Daphnia pulex: one gene and its partners. The protein of the gene in region 1 purifies or fractionates together with the protein of each later gene. This does not show direct contact. Links are inferred from orthologs where the notes say so. Each region holds a gene or a part of one and is shown on either strand. Other genes may lie near its edges.

Region 1 (7,118 bases):
TTGAGATATGCAATCAGGGTTACATTTGAGGAGGAGTAAAAAGCTAAATGAAAAAATGTTGGCCAATCAAACTATTTCCTGTTAAAAGCTTATTAAAGGGATTGTGCAACAACAAATTTGATCAGTTATTTTTTTTAAGGCCATTAAATTTCCATGCCATTTCGATTTTTGGGGGGTTTTATTAAAGAAAAATGCGTTGACGAACTGATGGTTGCGTAAACTTATCTAATAAAACAAAAGAACGCGCTCTGGCGCGATTTATAGCAGACGATAGACTTGAAGACCTTTTCAGTTGTGTGACGTTGTCGATTGAAAGAAGAAACGATTACTTGTTTTATTAAAGCCGGCCAATATTTAGAACTACATTCTCTTGAATAGGTTTTTCTAGTACGTTGAAGCAGAATTTTTAAAACTGAAAACCATGGAGTCAAAGAAAAAGGAGAAAGAAAAAGAGAAAGACAAGGAGAAAGACAAAGATGTCATCGTTTATGAAAGGGAAATGGAAATGTCTTCAGCTAGTCGGGGTGTTTGGTTGGTGAAAGTACCAAAATACATTTCAAGTCGATGGGATAAATGCCCTGGAAATATTACAGCTGGACAACTGAATATTACTAGGTATGCATCAATTGGTTTATGTTAACAAATCGACAAATCCTTTATTAACTCATTACAACTCTTGTTCAGGGTGCAAGGACAAAAGTCTCAAGTCAAACTTATTCTGTCGGAAGCTATTATGTGTCTCCAGGAAAAAGGAGAGGAACCTATTCCTAAAGAGCATGGATTGATTGTTTCACACATTACTTCACAAACATTGGGTGTATTTTCTCAACAAACCAGTACGTACTACTTGACAGTTATGGGGAAGATTTTTATTTTAGGCCTGAGCTTAAAGCATGATATTTAAAGTGGCGTGCTTGCAATTAATCTAATTTAATATTGACATTTTTGTATTGTTTCCCCAGCTCCAGCCACCGCGAACTCACCTATGGAAACTGAGAAGATCATATTTGAAGGCAAAGTTGCCCAGAAGCTTGAATGTAGACCAACAGGTGAGACCAACAAAATAAAGTTCCTAAGCTTGAAGTGAGCATTAATGATTTTTATTTTCATCAGCAAATGCAAGTTACATGAAACTCAAAAGGGATTCTTTGATTAAAGCTGCCCAACCTACAAGAATTGTGAAGCAATTGGATCGAGTGGTTCAAAGTTACAAACCCATCTCTGACCACAAGCATAATGTAAATATAGCAATTCTCGTCTATTTTTGGTACATCATAACCTTTTATTCCTGATTACAGAAAGAATTCGACGAAAAGAAGAAAGCTGAGGGTAAGAAAGCCAGAGATGATAAGGGCAAAGTTATGGACATGCTGTTTGCAGCTTTTGAAAAGCATCAGTACTACAACATCAAGGACTTGGTAAAACTCACCAACCAACCTGTGGTAAGAAAAAGTTGTTTTCATACAAGCATTTGCACTTTTAAAACCCTCTGCTTTTATAGACCTACCTCAAGGAAATTTTGAAGGATGTTTGTGTATACAATTTGAAGAATCCTCACAAAAACATGTGGGAACTGAAACCGGAATACCGCCACTACAAAGATGAAGACAAGGACTAATAAGTAAACAGTCCATTAACTTTCTAATAAAGCTGTGATTTTCAGAAAACTACTAAACAGCTCTTGGATGCACATAACTTCAGATAACTCAAATGGGTTTCAACTGCCCTTGAAATTGTTCGATAAAATGTTCTCTTAGGCTACAATTTTCCCTTCGTCTAAAAATTCCCGTGCTAACAAGTGTGTGGTCCAATACATCGATGCGAACTTGAAAATTTTACCAATATAATTTATCCCAACCATATCAGGAAGAAATGATTTCATGAGCGAGTTCAGTGCGAAAAGTAGGCTTATGTGCTAACGAGGAACCCCTTTTAAACAGAATCGTAAGATTGTAAAAACAAGAATCAAGTAAAAGGTTACATGTTAATATTTACAGCTTTTCATGGTACCCTACTTACAGTTAACATTATATTATCTCAGTCAAAAGCCATAATCTATTAGAATAGCAACAGCCTGTCTCTTGATGAGATTCATCATCCAACCATGATTCAACCAACAATTTAACGCTGAATATAGTTATCTACAAATTAATTTGTTTTAATTTTCACTAGTTACAATTTGCCAGAATGTAATTTTAAAAATTGTTTATTTGTCAATATAGATACTATAAAATACACCAAACAGAATTATTTCACCAGGAAATCTGCAACTTCAGGTAGCGATGTGAGGGTTCCTGTACAACAACAGAATAAGAATTAGCATTTCAACATCATAGAAAACCATTTAAAGCACACTTCAACAAATTATCCACAGTGTGCCTCAGTGCCTTCAACATCAATTACTTTATGTTACTACTATCAAATGTTTTAATTCGGTTCAATCCATGTGTTCCAAATAAGGAGACAACGGTAGATCAGAATAAATTTTAATTTAGCATGTCCGCTTGGCCACTATAAGCTAAGTAGAGCTAGTGTGGTTCAAAGGAATGCAAAATTCAGTCTTAGTTGCATGAATTAAATAAGATATTTACCGAAACGAATACAAAACTGGCTAGCAGCAATCAAACCAGATGGGGGAGCTTCACATGCTTCAAATGGCGTTTTACAGTCCTACTTATAACATTTGATTTCGTCCAACGCTGTTGAATTTCGGACTTCCTGTCGGAGTTGACAGATGGAAAATCTACAATAAAACTTTTGAAATCTTTTAAACAAATATGAACCAATTAAACTTGTTTATAATTTATTATTTCTATAATGATAGTTGAAAAAATTTTAAAAAGCAAACTGAAATAAATTATGTGGGAAGATGAATTCCGAAAGAGGGGGTTGAGAAGGAGGCAATGCTGGGCTTGTCAACTTCGTCTACAGAAAAAGTACTGTGTATTCCTTCTTCCTCTCGTAGACCGGTCTTAAAATACGTGAAATGGCTACGGCTCAGATCTCGAAAAAACGAAAGGCAAGTAATTCTTTCAACACGTGAATCTTTTTCATCTTGTTCTCACATATTCACCGTTTGAATATTGAGGTGTTATTGATGAAATAGAACAGTTTCTAACCAGGATGTGAAAGATTTTGGAGGATAAAATTCGTCTTGGCTTGACATGTTTCTATTGTCAGTGTGCTTGAGTTTACCTAATTTTCTTATAATTTTGTATTACAGTTTGTGGCGGGAGGTGTCTTCAAGGCTGAATTGAACGCCTTCTTGACCCGTGAATTGGCCGAAGATGGTTATTCTGGAGTTGAGGTAATTCTTGTGAAATTATTTTGTTACTGTGTAGATATCTAAAACCCATTTTCCTATTAGGTGCGCCTTGCCCCCACTCGCACAGAAATCATCATTCTGGCTACACGTACCCAGAATGTTTTGGGTGAGAAAGGCCGTCGCATTCGCGAGTTGACATCTGTTGTCCAAAAGAGATTTGGCTTCCAAGAGGGAACTGTTGAGCTCTATGCTGAGAAGGTTGCTACTCGTGGCTTGTGTGCTATTGCCCAAGCTGAGTCCCTGCGCTACAAACTCATTGGTGGTTTGGCTGTTCGCAGGTAAGCTAATTCAATAGGCTGACGTTTAAATAGTGCATTTCTGATGTAATGTGTTGTTACACAGAGCTTGTTATGGTGTTCTCCGTTTCATCATGGAGTCTGGAGCTAAGGGTTGTGAAGTTGTTGTATCTGGCAAACTTCGAGGTCAGCGAGCCAAGAGCATGAAGTTCGTCGATGGTCTGATGATCCACAGTGGAGAACCCACCAACGTCTACGTCGACACTGCCGTCAGACACGTCTTGCTTCGCCAGGGTAATTTATTGTGCATTATATTGACTTGGGAGGAATCTTTCTAATCATCTTTGTTATTGTAGGAGTACTTGGTATTAAGGTTAAGATCATGTTGCCGTGGGATCCCAACAACAAGAACGGACCCAAGAGACCTTTGCCAGACAATGTTTCCATCCTGGAACCTAAAGATGAGACACACATCGCAGAGGAACTTAAAGCAGCCAAGATGTCCGACATCGCAGCAGCACCTCCCACCCAAGCTGCTGCCTAAGGAGTGTTTCGTCTATTTACTGGGCTGGTGTCGATTAACTACCGTAGTTTCCAATATGAAACGAGAGTTAAATACATGCTTTGCCTGGTCAAGGTTGTGTTTTATTTATTATCCTACACCCTACTTTTCTTTTTACGCTCAAATTAAACTTACCAATTAATTTAGGTAATGAAGCAAGTCCAAGAATTGATGTGTAAAAAATCTTAGTAAATTAGAGTAAGGTCTGCGTGAAAAACAAGGTTTTCCAACTACCGCTGTCGGCGTGAGACTTATTTCAGTAAGTGGTTCTGCAATTGAACGTGTCGGTTGCTGAAAATAGTTCTCGTAGAATAATTGTGCACTACATGCCGACAGTGAACTTCAAAATACGGTTCAATGCAGAGCTGCTGCAGTTTGTTAATTTATAATTGTTTTATCGTTATCCATCTCATGAAGAAAAGTTAAAGTGAAATGTTACCGATATTGTCGATGTTGTGGTTACTCGTGTTACTGGAAAGGTAAGAACTTTTCTTTAATTTTCTTAATCTAGTGTATTTAAGAGCTTACGTGAGCATTGACATTTAAGCATTTTCTTGGTGATTCAGGATGAAAGCTAGACATTACTTGATACAATGGGTCGTTAAACAACTTTTAATCCGGGGGTTTCACTAGTGAGGCATTGAACTAAGCATATGGTCTTGTTCTGAAATTATTACTGAACAAAAAAGTAATAATAAGCTTGTCGTTGGCGTGATCACGTGATGACTAGAATGTTGCTCAAGTTGGTTTGATACTGCTTGTTTTTCCCAAGTCAGATATCTGATCTGCAGAGCTCCCCAAGCTATTGAGAACTGTGGCAAGACTAGTGGGCTCTTGGCCAGTGAAAGTTCTTTCTTTTCAACCTGTCTCCCACTACCAAGTTTCTTTTTCGTGTTTATGATGCCAAAAACGTAAAACAGAAACTTCGTGAATCTGGACCCTAATGCATTAATTCGCAGACGAATATTAAAAGAAACTACAGGAATGTTTTCTGTTAGATGACATGGCAATTTTTCGGCTCGTGAATTTAGACGCGCGGCTGTGAAATCGAGCAAATGCAACAAATTGTATTTGAATATTGAAAGAAACTGAACGAATGTTGGATGACAAGGCATTTTTTTTTCTGCTCCGTGACAGAAGAAAAATTATTTGAGATGCACGCGGTCCTATTGTTGTTGCTAACCAAACTTCCCCGGAAAAAATATCCCGATTATAAAATGAGAACATGAGAAATAAGAAGTTATGTCATGTCTGTAATGAATGTAAGTTTTCCTGGCGTACACATAGAGACTTGGTCGTATTGACATAGACATAGAACAACTAATAGTACCGACAACGTGCCAAGAATAAAAATTTGGGGCATAATTTATAGGTGGAATGAAGGGTATTCGTAGCGTATAAAAACTAATCGCCATTTTCTTACATATTAAATTGGAGTCAGCATTGAAAATCGGTTGAATGCATTCCATTTCTTTTTCCAGAACTCGGCTGCTTTTGTTTAAAAGTCACTTGGTGTAATAATTGACCTACATAATCGTTGTAACAGTCTGGTGGCCATATCAAATCAGACATTTGATTTATTGCTCACCGATTCAGAAGATTATGTAGTTGCTTATCGCATTTTATTATCTCAACTCGCTTTAAAAATAATGAAAGTTATTTCGTCAAAAAGTGGCTGAAAATGTTTTCTTACCTGATTCTATTTTAACTATATTTTAATGTCAAACACGTTTCGATGAAGATTAGTAGCCATGAAACGTCAGTTGACTAGTCGGTTAAAGTAACTTTGAGACGCACGTGGTTTTCTAACGATAAGATATTTCCGTCAATATTTATTTTCACACTCATATCAGGTGTGGTTCAACGGGCCAAGGTCTCCTGATTGCCAAGTCTGTCTAGGTAAATGTGGTTATAAGAAGACGTCGTAGTTTCATATTTCTTCGTTCACACATAAATTTCGTGTTGTTTAAAACAAAACAAGAGAAATTGATTTGTCTAGACACTTTTTCATTAATGGTTTAGACAATTCAAGATTGGGTGTATTATATATAGTAACTATGGCGACACACAGCACACTAAATATTTCAAAATGAAAAAGTCTGGTTATTTTTTGCCGCCATTTCGAGTGTGGGTAGTAGTAGCCAGGGCAACGCATTTAGCTTTCGGCTGTGTATAGCCCAGAAATGTCTGCACGCATGCGCGGCCCTCCTTTTCTATATTCCCCCCTCTAGCTGGGCTGGCTGGCTGGCTGGCTAGAGTCTTATCGTAAATACAACGTTGGAGAACATGACGTCGAACGGACGAGTGTATTTCTTTCGCTTCGTCATTTTCTCCATATTATTATTAATCAAGTCGAGTGTAATTGGTGCCGGTCAAGTGCCTGCTGCTGATGGTGATATTCAGTGTTTGTACAAGGAGCCGATTGAAGCCCATTTACACGAGGACGGCCATGGGATATTTCGGATTAAATTGTGCGCTTGTGGTGGTGTCGACGACCTCAACGTGGCCGTCGTGGCCAAATCAGAGGCACTGTGTCACTCGACGGCCGGCATACAGCACCTACAATGGGATCGGAATGCAACTATTGATCGACGCTGTTTGATGACGAAACCGTCAACTTTTGATCCACCACTCGTCGTCGGCGACAGTTTGGTTCTCTGTCAACCCAAACGAAATGGATCCCCTCTCATTCTGCCTTATGTGTAACCGTTTTTATCATCATCTTTTTCTTTGGATTATTATTACTATTTTTTTAAAACAAATAACGTCGTTATCTTTAATTAATCCAACGGATTAGAGGCGTCGGTTTTTGTTTTCATTTTTCCGTCTGTAAACAGCTGACAAAAACAAATAAGAAACTCCGCCTTTTTAGATTATACAAAACACGGTCGTATTACTTGGCTCCTGACTATACTTGTGTGTGTAAAGAGACTGGCTGTTCCAAAACAAAAGAGCTGCTGCTGCTGCTGCTACTAACTGAGTCACGCGCATGCGC
Region 2 (7,985 bases), on another chromosome or scaffold:
ATCGTCAAGCTCATCCAGCTCGTCATCACGCACTTTGAGCTGGTCAAACTCAGTTGCCATGGAGATGAGAGCGAAAATTTCGGCATCGTTCATAGCTTGATGCATTTGCTCGTTGAAGATCTCGACTGTGTCGTATTTGATGTAAAAGTGGCTAGCGGTTCGACCCAAATCGGTGGCGTGCAACAATCCAGTCTTTTCTTCGAAGCGGATCATTCGGGCTTTGTCCAAGGATCGGGCAGCCATAACGATCAATTCTCGGCGTTTTCCTCCCAAGTGGGGATCGTCAAATATCTGTTCCAGGTTGATGCCGTAAGCGATAGGGTTTTTCCTCATCCGAATGAACAAGTAGGTGTAACTTAGCCACTGGACGGCTTCGTCAACATTTGCAACCGTTCCGAGCGTAATTTCAGCGTTTAGGTTGTCTGTCATGGATTTTTCAAAGCTGCTCTCGATGGGATATTGGCACGTCAGCAACGAGAGGTAGTGGGCTAACTTGTCGTGGGATGTGATGATAGTTCCGTGTCCTGATTTGTCAAATTGGGGTCGACCAGCTCTACCAAAGATCTGCAGAACATCCAAGATGCCGATATCGACAAAGGCTCCGTGTTTAGCGTCGTAGATCTCGGTTCCTTTGATGATGACTGCGTGAGCAGGCAAGTTTACACCCCTAATTTTACACAATTGAATGAAATCATTGTGGAATTTGGATTAATATTGCCCTGGCATGCCAAATTTTATGAATTAAGAAAAGTGAATTCACTTACCATGCCAAAGTAGCTGTGCAAACCAGGACTCGCGCCATTCCGTCGGCAAACATTTTCTCCACAAGGTTTCGATCACCCCTCAGCATTCCGGCGTGATGAATTGCGAATCTACGAGACATTTAAAATATTAGCAAACATAAACAGAACAAATACAAGGACCTACTCACCCGTCTTTGAACAAGTCGACAAGATGCCTATTCCTCGATTTCCCTGCCGTTCTCATGGCGGTGCTGAATCCACTATTATCTTCTGGCTGGAATAAATGCAGCTGATTTTTTTCCTGCGCGATCATCCTTAAAGTCTAAAATATGCAAACAAATTGTTAAAACAGGAAGTTGCACAAAACATTTGACAAGGTGTGATACCTGGGCTGTCTTTAGAGTGGCGTTACGGGCATGGACAAAAACCATTACTTGATGTCCCTGTTGTACCATGGCGGCGACCTTATCATAACAGACGAAATCCATCTGTTGCATTTGTCGCATGGGATTAACCTCCTTCACACCGATGAATGTTTGAGATAAAGGCACAGGTCGGAAGCGCGAATCAAAGTAAAAGAGCCCCTTGTATGGATTGACGTGCAGAAATTGCGCTACGTCAACGTAATTGGGCAATGTGGCCGAAAGACCCAAGATTCGAATCATCATCTGGGACGATTCAACCTGGCGCAGCGTGCGGGCCACAAGAGCTTCAACTACGGGACCACGATCGCCGTGAAGTAAGTGAACTTCGTCGATAATTAGTAATTTTACCAACTGCGTCAATGCAATGTCACCTGGAATCAGAACATAAATCAATTATCGACCATAGAAAAATGAGACCAAAGTCAAGTTTCAACAAACCAGTGCTTTTCCTGGTAATAACATCCCACTTTTCGGGTGTTGTGATGAGCATCTGAGTGGCCATGATTTCGGCCTTGGTCAACTGCATGTCACCCGTCAACTCACGCACTAGCAGACCCAGTGGGGCCAAGCGTTTCCCGAAATTCTCTGCCATCTCGGCTGCTAAAGCTTTCATGGGGGCCACATACACAATCTACAAGTAAAACTGTGAGGGTAAATTTTAAAAGAATTTGTGAATGTACTTTTACCTTAAACTGATCTTTTCTTTCAAGGACTCCGTTAGTGATGTACTGCTTGATTTGATGCAAAATTGTCAACATAGCAATGTTCGTTTTACCGGCTCCGGTCGGAGCGCAAACTAACATGTTCTAAAGATAGAAAATAATTCTATGAAATTCTGTGTGGTGCGGAATTTGCTGGCGTTTTCCTTCTTACTTCATTAGTTCGGTAAGCGGTTTCAAATACTACGCTCTGAATCTTGTTCAGATTTTTGCAGTTGCCGAATGCTTTTCGACTTATGTCATCCAGTGAAGCGATGGGGATTAATTGGTTTCCTACTTCAGTTGGTGCTGGTTCTGATAGAGGAATGTTGATTTCCTCATATTTTGCGGTGTTGGTACGCACCGCAGACTCTGGCAACGCCATTTTCTTCCCACCAACGAAAGCTACCAGTAAAAGGTCAAGTAATGAATCATCTTAAAAATGGATTAAATGATATTCAGCATACATGAAGATTGTTTCGCCTCTGCTATTGAATCGTAAACGTTGGGATATTTGATTGCTTTACTAGCGGAATGTTTCATAATTGGAAGCGTCGAAGCCATGACCAACTGTTGCTCTCTACAAGAAAGAAAGTTTTATCAATTAACAATAGACAGCCCAAGAACGATGTAGTTATAATAAAGTTACTTACTGAAACATTTTCATCGATGACGCCTCTTCTACGTCATTCTCGTATCCTTGACGTAACTTCTGAAATCGCTTTTCCTCTCTTCGAACCTGCTTCATCAAATCCTTTTCCTGGGCAGATTGAACAAGCACTTGCCCACTGATAATGGGGCCAGCAGGATAAGGTTTTGGTTTGGATGAGGCCATGGCAACTATAGAAATTCATTTAAATAAAAAGTACTTTGGCGAGGTGAATTATTTTGATTTACCCTGAGTGGCAATCGATTTTTCTGCTTTCTTCATTTCCTTCCTATGTTCCAAGAGCTCTTGTATCAGTTCAAATCGTTCAAATCCCAGCAAATCAAAGAACTAAAGCCAAGACAACACAATGAACTTGATTCATTTGAATTTACACTGCAAAGCACGATGGAGAATATATCACCTCCGTTTGTAATTCATCGTCCGATTTACTGGAGCACAAAACGTTCATGATGGAATCAACGAGATCCGTAATGGGAATACTGAGAGCATTGCAATTAGAAAGAGCTAGCTGCTGCTCAAGCCAACCACGACCATGGGCTTTGCGCTGTGATTAAAGAGAAAAATGTTTCTCATTTTCAAAAAATAATAAAATAAATGGTACTCATTCAAATACCTCATATACTCTGGTCTCATTAGTTTTCGCTTCTTCCCATTTGAAACTAATAATATCTTTTTTTGTAAGTCCATCAAAATTGCTAGTGGGACTTCCCCAATCTATAAGCACTTCAACTCCACTGACAGAAACTTCATCTACTGGGTATATCTTCACATCTTTGCCAAATTCGGCTACACATTCTTCTGGGTTTTCATTCTTGAGGTACTTCATCACATTCTCAGGCAACTTGTTTGCCAAGTTTCTTACGTGCTATTTTTTAAAAATGATTAGCAAATAGCAAGTTTTATAGCGAAAAATAAAATCTGAAATACTTTGAGTGCTTCTTTTCCGAGTGAAAGATCAATTATTCCAAAGCCCAAAGAGGAGAGGTTTTTGGAGGTGACATCTTCCTTCTCCAAAAAGTACAAAAGTAGACCAATAGAACAATCCTCTACCACCTGTGCCCCACACTCATCTCCAACTATTTTATGGGCAACCTGTCTAAGAGGATTCAGCAGTGCTCTGGTATCTGCTGTATTTTTCCCCGATTTCTCCAATTCCCCAACCAAACTCACCCATGTGATCCTGTAAAAAAAAACTTTGTTTAAGAAGACAATTTGAAGATTGCACAGTTCTTACTTGTTGCTTTCTTCCTGATGTTTTATCCTAAGCTCACTTAAATGACAAGATGATGTCTCTGTCAATTTACCACATGTGGGAGAACCTAGATTTGTAAAAGCTCTCAGTGCTCTGGATAAACGAGGAGTAGGTTTCATTCTAGTTGTGAATTGATGGAATATATTACACCATTTAAGGTTTAATTAACCCTACTGAGAAAACAAAATTTCAATTGAAATTTAATTCACGAACTGCATGCAATATTTGATTTTACCGATTCCAAGGATTGAACTTGTGAATAACTTCCTGCTTTACAAAAACACACACAAATATTTTATAATACGTAATTGACAAATTTAATTGACTACGGGAATGCAAGGATGGACGATAAGACATAAGACAAGAGGCACCGGTAAATGATTCCTTCTTTCCAGCAATCGGTTCGTCTGCTTTGTTTTTTTCGCTTTCGTTTTCAAGTGACAACGCTAGGTGGTGTGGTCGTAGCCCCAGCTGGTTCAATTTAATTCAAACTGATTCTGCTCACACGGCACAGCCATTAAAAATAGGGAAAGATACCGATACCTTTATTTAGAATCCCGACACAAAATTTAAAATTAATTGTCGATTGTTTTAAATGCATAATAAAACAATCGTCCAAAAATCGGATATACGTACGTATCTAACATTGTCTTACATAGTAACATTACATCAGCAAATGTTCTATCTATCTAAAAGAGTAGCAGATTTTTATTTGTATCTAATGCCAAGGTGCCAAACCAGGCCAAACAATGATTGTTTACCCTTACACCAATGTTTCATGGAGCAATAAGTTATTATTGCACATGATAATGCCCAGATGTATAGAATAAAAACGTAGAAGATATCGATTGAATTTTTATTGAGGCTTCGCAAAATACACGAATGTACGTTCGGCAATTTCGTGTTTATAAAAAAATCTGGAACTTCTCCAAGCCAATCAGCTAGGTGACGACTCCATCAAAACAAATGAATTCGATTTTAAATGATCGACTGAACGAAAAGGTTAGACGTACGGACAAACAAGATGGGGAAAAATTTGCGTGACATCAAACAGCCTCCGTTCTTGGTTCAACCCGCTGTTTCTGAGCATCCCGACCTAGGTATTTTACTTAACTATATAGATCATCATCCGCATCATCTTGGAAGTTGCCTCCAGATCCTCCGCTAGGCTGACTGCCACCTGCAGCTGGTGCATTCGGGAATCTAATAAAAATGCATTCAGTATTATCATTATTCATGCAAGTCTGGCAGTGAATTATCTTTTACCTGAAATTAGTGCCAAAACCACGTGATTGCTGCAAAGTCTGTGAGAACATCTCGTATTTGCGGATATCGTTGTCTGAAACAGAACGACGAGCAAACTTCATGGCATCTTCAAAATGCGACCTCAGAATCTGGGGAACTGGATCTTCTTCTTCCATTTCCATATCCATATCAGGATTGGCGGCACGTTCTTTCTCCCTTCTGATTTCGGCTTCGATAGACTGGCGAATAGCCAACTTGCATGCACGTTGGCAAATTTCAGTCAAATCGGCACCAGAGAAACCGTGCGTAACTTTAGCCATGTAGATCAAATCCACATCCTAAAAATAGATATCAATTTAGATTGGTTCCAACGGACTATATCAAAGATTATTTACCGGAGCAAGAGGGGACTTTCGAAGATTAGACTTCAAAATGGCTTCCCGTGACTTCTCATCAGGTAGTGGGATGTAAATCAATTGATCCAAACGACCAGGACGTAATACAGCCGGATCAATGATATCTAAATTTCAAAAAGCAAACAGATGGGTAAATTTCATTGCGTAACAACTGATAAAAGATGCATATGTTACTGTTAGACCAAAAATACAAAGAAAAGAAAATTACCAGGACGATTCGTCGCTCCAATAATAAAGACGTTTTTCTTAGCACCCATGCCGTCCATCTCTGTCAAAACTTGGTTGATGACACGATCGGCAGCTCCTCCAGCGTCACCAGAGCTTCCACCACGAGCTTTAGCAATGGAATCGAGTTCGTCGAAGAACAAGACGCAAGGAGCAGCAGCACGTGCCTTGTCGAAAACGTCTCGCACGTTGGCTTCAGACTCACCAAACCACATGGTCAACAACTCGGGACCTAATAGAGATAAAATTAGTTTTGATTGAACAAATTTTAACTGAATTAATCTAAATTTTTTGTTTACACACCTTTGATAGAAATGAAATTGGCCTGGCACTCGTTGGCAATAGCCTTAGCCAACAGCGTTTTACCGCAACCGGGTGGGCCATAGAAGAGAACACCACGAGAAGGAGTCATGCCGAACTTGAGGAATTTCTCTGGATGTTCAACCGGGTATTGGACCAACTCTTGAAGCTCGCGTTTGACGCCTTCCAAACCACCAATGTCTTCCCATGAAACGTTGGGCACCTCCACAATGGTCTCTCGTAAGGCACTAGGCGTTGATTTGCCCATAGCGAACTGTTGATGAAAACACGAATGAAAATTGCTGTATGTATGTTTAACGCATTTCAAAATCAACACACCCGGAAGTTCTCCATAGTAACGGCCAGGGATGCCAGGACTTCAGCGTCGATTTGGTCCTCTTCCAAGTCAATGAGATCCATTTTCTCTCGGATCTGTTGGAGTGCAGCTTCTGAGCACAATGCAGCAATATCGGCACCAACGTGGCCGTGTGTTTCGGCGGCAACTTGTTCCAAATCGACATCATCGGCCAGTTTCATATTCTTGGTGTGAATACGCAGGACTTCCAATCGCCCAGTGGCATCTGGAATACCGATATCAACTTCGCGATCAAAGCGTCCGAATCGACGAAGGGCAGCATCAATCGAATTGGGTCGGTTGGTGGCAGCCATAACAATTACATGTGATCGCTGTTTCAAGCCATCCATAAGCGTCAACAACTGGGAGACGATGCGGCGCTCTACTTCACCATGGGTCTATAATAAAATCGAACATTTCTGTTAACAAGCCATTTCTTTTTAAATGCTAGTATTATTATTTGTTTACCTTTTCACGCTTAGGAGCAATAGCGTCCAACTCATCAATGAAGATGATAGCAGGTGAGTTTTTCTCGGCTTCTTCAAATGCTTTACGTAGATTACTTTCGGACTCGCCAGCCAACTTGCTCATAATTTCAGGACCTAAAACCGCTCATCAGTTAATTGAAACAACATCAAAAGCAAATAATCTTTCTTACCATTGATCAAGTAGAAGAAAGCGCCGGTCTCATTGGCTACAGCACGAGCGATAAGTGTTTTACCGGTACCAGGAGGTCCAAAGAGTAGAATACCACGGGGTGGCTTCACACCAATCGCTTTGAAAAGCTGGGGATGACGCAAAGGCAATTCTACCATCTCTTTAATGAGAGCCAATTGCTTACGAACACCTCCAATGTCGTCGTAACCGACAGCATTCAAAGCCTCCTCCTCTTCCTTTATGAATAAAATTCCATTTAACTTTACTGTATCTATTTTGTTTTGTTTAAATAATTGATCATTCATACCTCTCGTTTGATTGGTTCACCCTCACAATGAATGACTGTGTCTGGAGCGACGATGCAATAGGGAACAGGGTCCGTTTCAACCACTAATTTTTAGGTACAAAAACCAGTATTACTTAAGGATGTGCTAAAACCAAACAAAAGTTGGTATTACCTTTAAACTCCACTGCACGCATTCCTCCGCGGACAATAAATATGTCGCCTTTATGAATTGGACGATATGCTTCCAGAAAGTATGGCTTCAGGTACACATCAAAGAGACTTCCTGTGAGTCCCTCCACTGTATCATCAATTGGCAGAACATGGATTCGTTTGCCGTACTTCACATCAGGGCATGGGGAAACTGACACTACATCTCCCAACCTGACACGCAGGTTGTTTCTGACAACACGATTCATCCTGATCTTTTCATTTGATACAGACTCATCAGACAAGACAATGCACACAGTTTCTTTCCTTTTCTTCCCCTTAAGTAGAACTGTGTCACCTTTAAAGAGCTGTAGCTCATCCATTTTTTCCTTTAATCCAAACAAACTATTAAGATATTACATTAAACAGACTGCAAACAAATTCAATGTACCTGGGACATGGCAACAACAGAGTTGTCATCATTTACAGCCTCCTCGACTAGAAGCCTATTCGGCTTCACCTTATTCTTCAAAATAGCTGTCGACAAGTCTTCATTCCTGTTAATA
Region 3 (7,850 bases), on another chromosome or scaffold:
ATTTAGGGTATTCTGTTACTGTTTGAGGCCAATATGATTATCTTCCTCTTTTTTTTCATGATACCTGCCGTCTTAGCCTTACATCTTTCTCTAGTTTTCTTTTCCCTCATTCTCTTCTTTCAAATATTCGAACCAACCCGACACAGACAAAATCATAACAGCTCAAAATTCAGATTGCTTGAAATAAATGTTTAATAGTTAGTGTTTTTTTATTTTGAGAGCATCAGGCAATCAACGAGACAACGAGTAGACGTACTTTCGGGGAAAGTAAAGGGGTGTTTCCAATTTATGCAACTCAACCACCTGATGCGGAATGAATTTTCTCTTACAGTATATGACAAAGAATCCTTGTGACCATTTAAAAAACGAAATTCTTATTACACCTAGCATATAGCTAGTATACAAGAAACTAATTAGGAAATTGCCAAAGGACTCAGACTAGCGCTTTAATGGTATTGTAGCGGAAACAGCGACCGGACACCATCCGGGAAGGGTAAAGAGCAGCGACGGTCAGATGACTGTTTCTACTTTTCCTGGTGACGACGCGCCACAATAGGGATCAGTTAGACTCGGGCAGTGACTATAAATGGATGCAACTTAACAGTCGGGATCAGTCTTGGATTTGCTGTATGCCTTTGAACTTTCTCAATAGACATGTGCATCGGATTCAACCCAGAATACACATGTGTATTCTAGAAGCTGAACGGCATACAGCAAATCCAAGACTGATCCCGACTTTTAAATTGTGCTACATTGGGTCTAACCGATCGTTCAATGTCGACTGACCGTCGCTACTTTTTACCCTTTCCGTGCAACCTCTACAATACACTAGATGGAGCCAATAACTTCGAAATCATCCATGTTTCTAATAAACGGTAGTAGCGCATAGCGCAGAAACTACAGAATATGACACAAACTGCAAAAACTTCCATTATTGCTTCCATTATTGTTTTAGAAAATTGTTTGTAGATGAGAAAAATTAGATTTTGTCCCATCACTCAGAGTATTTCCTAAAGTGAAATTAATTCTCAAGCATGTAACAAAAACTAGCAAAATTGGCTCATTTGAAACCTATCGAGCAATTAGTAACTTTAAACAAGTGTTAAACGATCATAAGACTAATCATAAGACAGAAGGTTTAGAAACTAACCAACATTGAAAAACAGAAGAAAATATGGACAAGGTCCAATCAAATTTTATTTATACCATTAATTGATTGGCAGCATCTTCCATTTCTACTTCATGATTATACAAAGGAGATGGAGACGCTACGTTAGGATCGAAGCTCCACTTAGGGAACACGCGTTTATAAAGATTCATCATTACTGTGTCCTGGGATTTGATTTGGCCATCAAATACACATTTCATGTGTCCGTGCGTTCCAAGTGGTTCTGAAATTTAAAAAGTTTATAACTATAGTAAAAAGAAAGTTATCATCTATGCAAACCTCGGATGTGACCTCGTCGACCATATTTCGTTCTTAATTCAACTGGTTTGAACCATTCGATGTCCTCACGGTTGAAGAACATAAAACGCAGGACAGCAGATTTGCGGTGAACTTTAAATGGTGCTCCACTCAAAACGGCACGTTTAACTGTAATGCGATCAGGATTTACTGATAAAACCGATCCAGTCGCTATCATTACTTGAGTTCCGTCCTTCTTTTCCCGAAATACCAAGACTGAGGCAGATGGAAAGATAATTGGCGCGTAAAGAGTTGCTACTACAACTGATTCTGGCCGAAAGAAGCGCTCATACTGAACAAAGAAAACTCCTTGATGAACAGTACATACAAAAATTAGATAAAAGATAAACATTACCTTATGCTTGTTGGCTGCAGTGTGCTGACTAAAAATGGGAGCAGCAGCATACCGCCGATAACCGCAATGAAAGATCAGTCGCTCTTTTGACGGAATCGCTTGCTGATCCCGTGCATTTTTGAACCTCTTAAGAACAAGATTAACCACACTCATTCTCTGTTCGTGAGGCAACATGCCAACTAATGTCAATGGGTAGCCGGATTGGAGACTCGCTGGTAAATGGCTGGGCACGTTCTTAACGTGAACTCTCACGTACCATCCGGGCTAAGAAAATGTAATTTTAGAGCATTCAAGTTTTTATCAAATTGAACCGCATAAGAAAAATAAAAGTCACAATACCTTTGCTCCAGTTCGTTCTTCTTTCAAGATTCGCTTTCGAGTCCGCGGAAAATTTTGGAACTGAAAAGTTCTGGAATAATCCATGGGTAGATTTTCTTTGGCATCCCAAGGTGATGTACGAAAGGATTTCAAACCACGATACTTTTGAAAGCGTACCTTAGCCAATGTGTCGCGTGGCGTATCCACTTCGTCAGGGAAAAGTTCATCCTCACGAGCTTCTGTAAAGTCAACACATTTTTGTTGGAATTGATGGAATCATGGTTAATTTAGAAAAAAAAACATACCCTTAATTTTTTTAAATTCTTCTTCTTCATCTGCAAATTTAACTTTTTTATCGTACACATCCGTGTCTCCACCTTCGTTGTCTACTGATTCCATTTCATCCTCTTCAGCTTCTTCTTGTGATTCTTCACTTCCATCATCTCCAGACATTTCTTCGTAATCATCTTCCCAATCGTCACTATCATCCTCTTCTTCTTCATCGTTTTCTTCGTTTTTATCATCGCCCTCGTCTTTGATCCAAGCGGCTTGATACTCTGATGTTCCTTTTGGTACTCGTTTCTTTTTTTCCGATTCTTCATCATCTTCAATTTTGTCCGCTTCCATAGTTTGGCCTTCCATTTCTTCTTGGTAAGGCCAAGTCTGCTCACCGTTCATAGGATCAGGATCATTTTCGGATTTCAGTGATTCTTGAAGAGCGGGATTGGCCTCTTCCAGGAAAATAAATTCTCCGGGTTCCCTCCTGACTTCGATTCGCTCCATTTGAAAGTCTCCCCATCCAGGTATGTGGACTAATCCATTCACGTTTAAGGGTTGGTAGCGTACGTATCCATCGACAATCAAACTTCCGACTGTAGGATCATCAGAATTTTGCTTGAAGTTCACTTCTTCACAAAGAAAATGGCATCTCATATTTCTTTGATAGATAGGTCGCTGTTTCTGGGACCCAATGTGATGCAACAGTCTGAGAGCATCACTTTCATTTTCAATCACTTGAAGCTTCTCTAATGGCACCATCTGATCCAGCTGTTTCATAAGAAGCTTCTTGTAATCATTTCGTTTCTTCAATGAAATGGTCTCAATGTCATTAACAACAAAAATTGGAGAAGGAAGCCCCTGTGCCATGATGGCAGACAACAACTCTTCACCACTGCTGTCAAAACCCAAAGGCCCTTCATTACTTGTTGAATGAGACATACAGCTGTCAGTGTCAGAAGGAGGTGATATTATGAATACAACATTATCAACAACTTTGCAAGCATCTAGTGCTGCATATAGATCTCCAGGACGAGGCACTATCAAACTGAAGTTCTGCCGAAAACGTGGCACACTGAAAAACAAGAAAGAAATTAGCAACATACAAATATATGTATATATATATCTATAGGCACTTTACTTGATGTTTATTACATTGGAGCCAGTCATTTCCACTTTTGCATCAGCATCACACTCTTTGATTTGTTTCAACAACTTTTGAATGTTTGCTGATTCTCCTAGTGGGATTATTGCAGACAGAAAAGGAGCTGAATCATTCCCACCTATTGCCCTCTTTTTAGCCAGGACATCTTCTCGTTTCTTTGACCTTATCTGATTTGCTTTCCTTCTTCTTTCATCCCGCTTTAGTTCTTGATTTTTCCTTTTTGATGCTAATTTGACATGAACTCGTCCTAGAATTACCACACTAAGTTAGTTTGAAAATGACGCCAGTAAAATAAAATACAAATATTTGCTTACCTTTGTTGTTCTTGTCAATTTCACTTTTGCTGCGATGTCTCCCATTTTTATGAGATTTATTTTGCTGTTTTAGAAGACCGGGTCGATGTGAAGCCTGTTCACCTCCTGCCATCCCACTATTTACTACTGTTAATTACTTAATATAGTAAAAGAAAATGTAACCGTTCACTTGGTACTATAGACGTTTTACACACGTGGAGTTCGCGGACGGCACAATATTTCAGTGCAGACGACGCTAAATCTTGCAAAAGTCGTAAACGAACAATTTGAAGTTGCCCTACTACATGCTACTACATGCTACATCTTGTTAGTCCGCAAGTTATTAACGCGTGCGAATAATATTATATGTTAATAACTTAATATATATATATTCATGTTATTGTAATACATATAATATTACTATATTGTGTTGTAACTACGTGTACCGCAAGTCCGCATGCGGTGCTGAGCTGACACGCTGTCCAAACGGGCAGCCGCAGCGGGTCAGCGGCCATGCCCAGCGCACGTTAAGTGTTCCTTAGTCCCTTTTCATTATCTTGTGATCTTTTTGTCCAGTCAGAGGCGCCATTTTTCCTCTACCAGTAAATGCTATTGTCCCTCCTTAGAAGTCAGGATTTTTATCAATTTTATCGCTGCAGCAGGTTGCATATTTTTAATTTATACAGTTGTATTCCCAAGCAGTTAAGTATCGTTTCTCCAATCGTCCTCTCTGGTAGAATATCTCCAAACCCGATTAAACATTAAATTAAATTAGAAAACTGAAGTGACCATATAAAAAAAAAATGTCTCAACAAAGTTCCAAAAGTTGGAAGCAATTCACGAAAAAAGTTCGTTCAATACAAAATAATAATATAAAGATTTGTATTATCTCACGAAAGCTCTTTACTAAAGAATAAGCCATTGAACATTGCAAATTACAACAATAACTTATTACTGTTTACTCTGGTTTAGTTTTTAAATGATTGGATTTTTTTACGGTTGCATGCGGATAGCGCCATCAACACGAACCACTTCTCCGTTCATCATTGGGTTGAGTATAATTGATTCAACCATCATTGCATACTCATCTGGCTTACCCAGACGTTGCGGAAATGGTACGGTCTTTGCCAAATATGACTGCACTTTTTCAGGTAAAGACTCGAGCAAAGGAGTTTTAAACAATCCTGGTGCAATGGTACAAACCCTGATACCCTAGAAATGATAATAATTAGTTAACATTGTAACCAGTTTTAACTTGAGCCATTTTATCTCTACACCTCCAGTTAATTAGTTTTATTAAATTACCTGGGACGACAGATCTCTCGCAATCGGTAGAGTCATTCCAACAATTGCTCCTTTGCTTGCAGAATAGGCGGCTTGACCCATCTGACCATCGTAAGCAGCTACAGATGCAGTATTGACTATCACTCCTCTTTGACCGTCTTCGTTGGGCTGATTTTCGCCCATTAATCCTGCCGAAAGGCGAATAACATTGAAAGTTCCCACGGTGTTTACCATCAAAACTTTAATGAAGTCTTCTAGTTTGTGTGGAAGATTTTTGTTAAAATTGTATGTTTTGAAAGCAACTCCAATTCCTTAATAAATAAACAAGCTATTAAACTTTTATTCAAACAGAAATTCTTTTAAATTTAATGAAAATTACCTGCACAGTTTACTGCAACATCAAGTTTTCCAAATTTTTCTTTTGACATGGAAAGAGCATTCATTACATCTTTCTCAGAAGAAACCTATTAGGAACATCACATGTTATTAGTTGAACATTATGTTTTACTTCTTAAACATTATCTTTACATCTGTTGGGGCAAATATAACATTTTCTGACATGCCAGCAGCTACTTGTTGTCCTTTAGAAGTTGGTAGATCACATAAGACTACCCTTCCACCTTGTCGGACAATTCTCTATCAAATGATACAATTATACATCAAGGCTGGATAGTAAATTCACAAGAAAACCAGTTCTGATATACCTCAACAGTTGCCCGGCCCAAGCCAGAAGCTCCACCAGTCACCAAGGCAACAGCTCCCTATTAAAATCAAGTGTTTCAATTACTCCAAATCCATATTTGTCTTCTGTGACGATAAAGGGAAACATATAACGAAAACCGGACATGTAATATAAATACACATCAGAAACTCAAAACTATATAGGGTTCTTGACATAATTTGAAAAAAAATTGTTTTAATATTTACTTTACAGCATTTAATTTTCCATTCCATATACAAATGCAATGTTATTTAACTTACTTTCAACATTTTATCAAACGAATTTTATTTTGCGATTTAAACACGAGTCCTTTTGCCTGTTCCTCGCGATATGCAAGACAGCAAGAGAAGGATCCGAGTACGGCAGCAGACGACCTTACGAAAGTTAGACGTTGACATTTAACAAAAATGGATTTCCCTTTGAAAAGACGAAAAAGTGGTCTTGTTGTCATCCCTTCGATTTGGATAGATGCAGGTTGCAGGTATAAGTTAAAAATGAGCTATAAATGTAGAATAATCCTTAGCTTAGTGTCCCACCCCATTCCATTGGGATTAACAGCTGTCAGTTAACATCGGTAAATTTGAAATTCTTGAAAATAATATTCCTTAGGGATTCACTTTCTCCCCATGGAAACTTTGGCAGTTTACGACATGTTTTTGCGCCTGCCTTTCACCCTTGGCTAGAAAAAAAAAATATCTTGTCTCAAAACTTGCTAAGGAAAAGACCGACACCAACCACATCTTTAGCCTACCTTAAATCCAAGAATAACGGTCACATCGGTCACATAAAGAGATGAATACCTGCATATTTGCTAAGACACAATATTTTTTTGGCATATTTTTTTTATATATTTCGGAGTCAACGACCGAGAACGACCGACTTTAGTGTGCATCTGCGATGCATATAAAGGCTCTTTGCAGCACACTTTTCTCTATCAATCTTTATTTGAAAACCTTACAGATCAAAATGAAGATCTCAGTGATGACAAGCATGATTTTGCTTTTGGCGACTTCTATATGGACTGCAATGGCCAGCGCCATTGCTGTGGAGACTACCAGTCAAAAATCCCTTTGTCGACATACACCAATTGCAGGCAAGTTCCTACTTGTTCATTGTTTTCTTCTTAACTGTATTCTTATCAATTTGAATAGCAAAATTTTTGTGCCCACCGGAAGCGTGCTCACCGAGTTGCGGAACAGGTTATCACTGCATGAAAGGGCAATCTCCCAACGAGCCGCCTTGTTATTGTATGCTTGATTCAGATATGCCATGCGTGAATTAATTATCCTTCGATACCCCGCGAACCTTCAACGTGATATCACAAATTTTTGTACACCGTAGAAAATATATTTTCTGGAATAAAATTTACGACGCTGTTAATCTTTTCGAATTCTGCATGTTAGTTACTCGTCGTGTAAAACCAATGCGCAAGAATTAATAAATCCAGTTCTTTTTATTCATTAAATGTTTTACTACAATGCGTTGAATTCGATCATTGTGCATTTTTCACATCAAACAGTCACGTCCGACATACTTTCCGCATGCCGACATGCGTCACGGACATTTTTTTTATGGGTAATTCCACGTAAAGTGAAACCAAACAGAACGAGTGAAAAAGCCATCGGCGTGATGACTCACCAAATATGGGTCTCCATACTCTCCAAATATACACGGGAAACTTAGAAAATTTCCCATTTATTAGTTATTACGAAATGTTTGCGAGAGAGACAAATAAAACATTTATACTAAGACCTCCGAGATGTCGCACAGTCCACTGCCAAAAGACAATTTGTTTTGTTCTGGCCGTTTTTAATTTGATTGAAGTATTGTTTCTTTGAAATTAAATTTGGACGAAGCCACAACGAAAGTCGCTTAATAAGGAATAGGAGGGTGAACTTACTAAATTAATCTCTGGCGGGATATCCTCATTTCTGTTATCAACCCAGAGAAATTCCGACTTGCTGATTGGCTGC

The links.
Region 2: the proteins of 40S ribosomal protein S3-A-like (region 1) and activating signal cointegrator 1 complex subunit 3-like purify together in Homo sapiens (co-immunoprecipitation; 4 studies listed by BioGRID and IntAct, with this or other methods). This does not show direct contact. The link is inferred for Daphnia pulex from reciprocal best matches to the Homo sapiens genes RPS3 and ASCC3.
Region 3: the proteins of 40S ribosomal protein S3-A-like (region 1) and pre-rRNA-processing protein TSR1 homolog purify together in Homo sapiens (co-immunoprecipitation; 4 studies listed by BioGRID and IntAct, with this or other methods). This does not show direct contact. The link is inferred for Daphnia pulex from reciprocal best matches to the Homo sapiens genes RPS3 and TSR1.

What each region holds. Positions count from the first base shown.
Region 1 is NC_060025.1:407,152-414,269, forward strand, and holds 40S ribosomal protein S3-A-like, read left to right. Parts: upstream 1-2,873; 5' UTR 2,874-2,986; coding exon 2,987-3,019; intron 3,020-3,223; coding exon 3,224-3,307; intron 3,308-3,367; coding exon 3,368-3,603; intron 3,604-3,667; coding exon 3,668-3,855; intron 3,856-3,917; coding exon 3,918-4,105; 3' UTR 4,106-4,197; downstream 4,198-7,118. Other genes in the region: general transcription factor IIF subunit 2-like, read left to right, coding at 422-615, 685-836, 963-1,049, 1,114-1,238, 1,299-1,442, 1,502-1,618; unextended protein-like, read left to right, coding at 6,410-6,825. UniProt on the Homo sapiens protein: Component of the small ribosomal subunit. The ribosome is a large ribonucleoprotein complex responsible for the synthesis of proteins in the cell. Has endonuclease activity and plays a role in repair of damaged DNA.
Region 2 is NC_060022.1:744,581-752,565, forward strand, and holds the start of activating signal cointegrator 1 complex subunit 3-like, read right to left. Parts: upstream 4,181-7,985; 5' UTR 4,024-4,180; intron 3,962-4,023; exon of another isoform or gene 3,959-3,961; 5' UTR 3,908-3,958; coding exon 3,771-3,907; intron 3,717-3,770; coding exon 3,464-3,716; intron 3,402-3,463; coding exon 3,150-3,401; intron 3,081-3,149; coding exon 2,937-3,080; intron 2,864-2,936; coding exon 2,764-2,863; intron 2,723-2,763; exon of another isoform or gene 2,707-2,722; coding exon 2,520-2,706; intron 2,447-2,519; coding exon 2,334-2,446; intron 2,272-2,333; coding exon 2,042-2,271; intron 1,975-2,041; coding exon 1,855-1,974; intron 1,800-1,854; coding exon 1,607-1,799; intron 1,540-1,606; coding exon 1,130-1,539; intron 1,066-1,129; coding exon 932-1,065; intron 873-931; coding exon 765-872; intron 668-764; coding exon 1-667. Other genes in the region: transitional endoplasmic reticulum ATPase, read right to left, coding at 4,898-4,991, 5,055-5,371, 5,429-5,553, 5,658-5,906, 5,978-6,248, 6,314-6,727, 6,798-6,931, 6,988-7,222 and 3 more. UniProt on the Homo sapiens protein: ATPase involved both in DNA repair and rescue of stalled ribosomes. 3'-5' DNA helicase involved in repair of alkylated DNA: promotes DNA unwinding to generate single-stranded substrate needed for ALKBH3, enabling ALKBH3 to process alkylated N3-methylcytosine (3mC) within double-stranded regions.
Region 3 is NC_060018.1:6,276,686-6,284,535, forward strand, and holds pre-rRNA-processing protein TSR1 homolog, read right to left. Parts: upstream 4,181-7,850; 5' UTR 4,006-4,180; coding exon 3,894-4,005; intron 3,827-3,893; coding exon 3,556-3,826; intron 3,490-3,555; coding exon 2,444-3,489; intron 2,378-2,443; coding exon 2,160-2,377; intron 2,085-2,159; coding exon 1,821-2,084; intron 1,758-1,820; coding exon 1,448-1,757; intron 1,392-1,447; coding exon 1,201-1,391; 3' UTR 1,180-1,200; downstream 1-1,179. Other genes in the region: 3-hydroxyacyl-CoA dehydrogenase type-2-like, read right to left, coding at 4,866-5,084, 5,178-5,467, 5,536-5,620, 5,685-5,792, 5,861-5,917, 6,138-6,146. UniProt on the Homo sapiens protein: Required during maturation of the 40S ribosomal subunit in the nucleolus.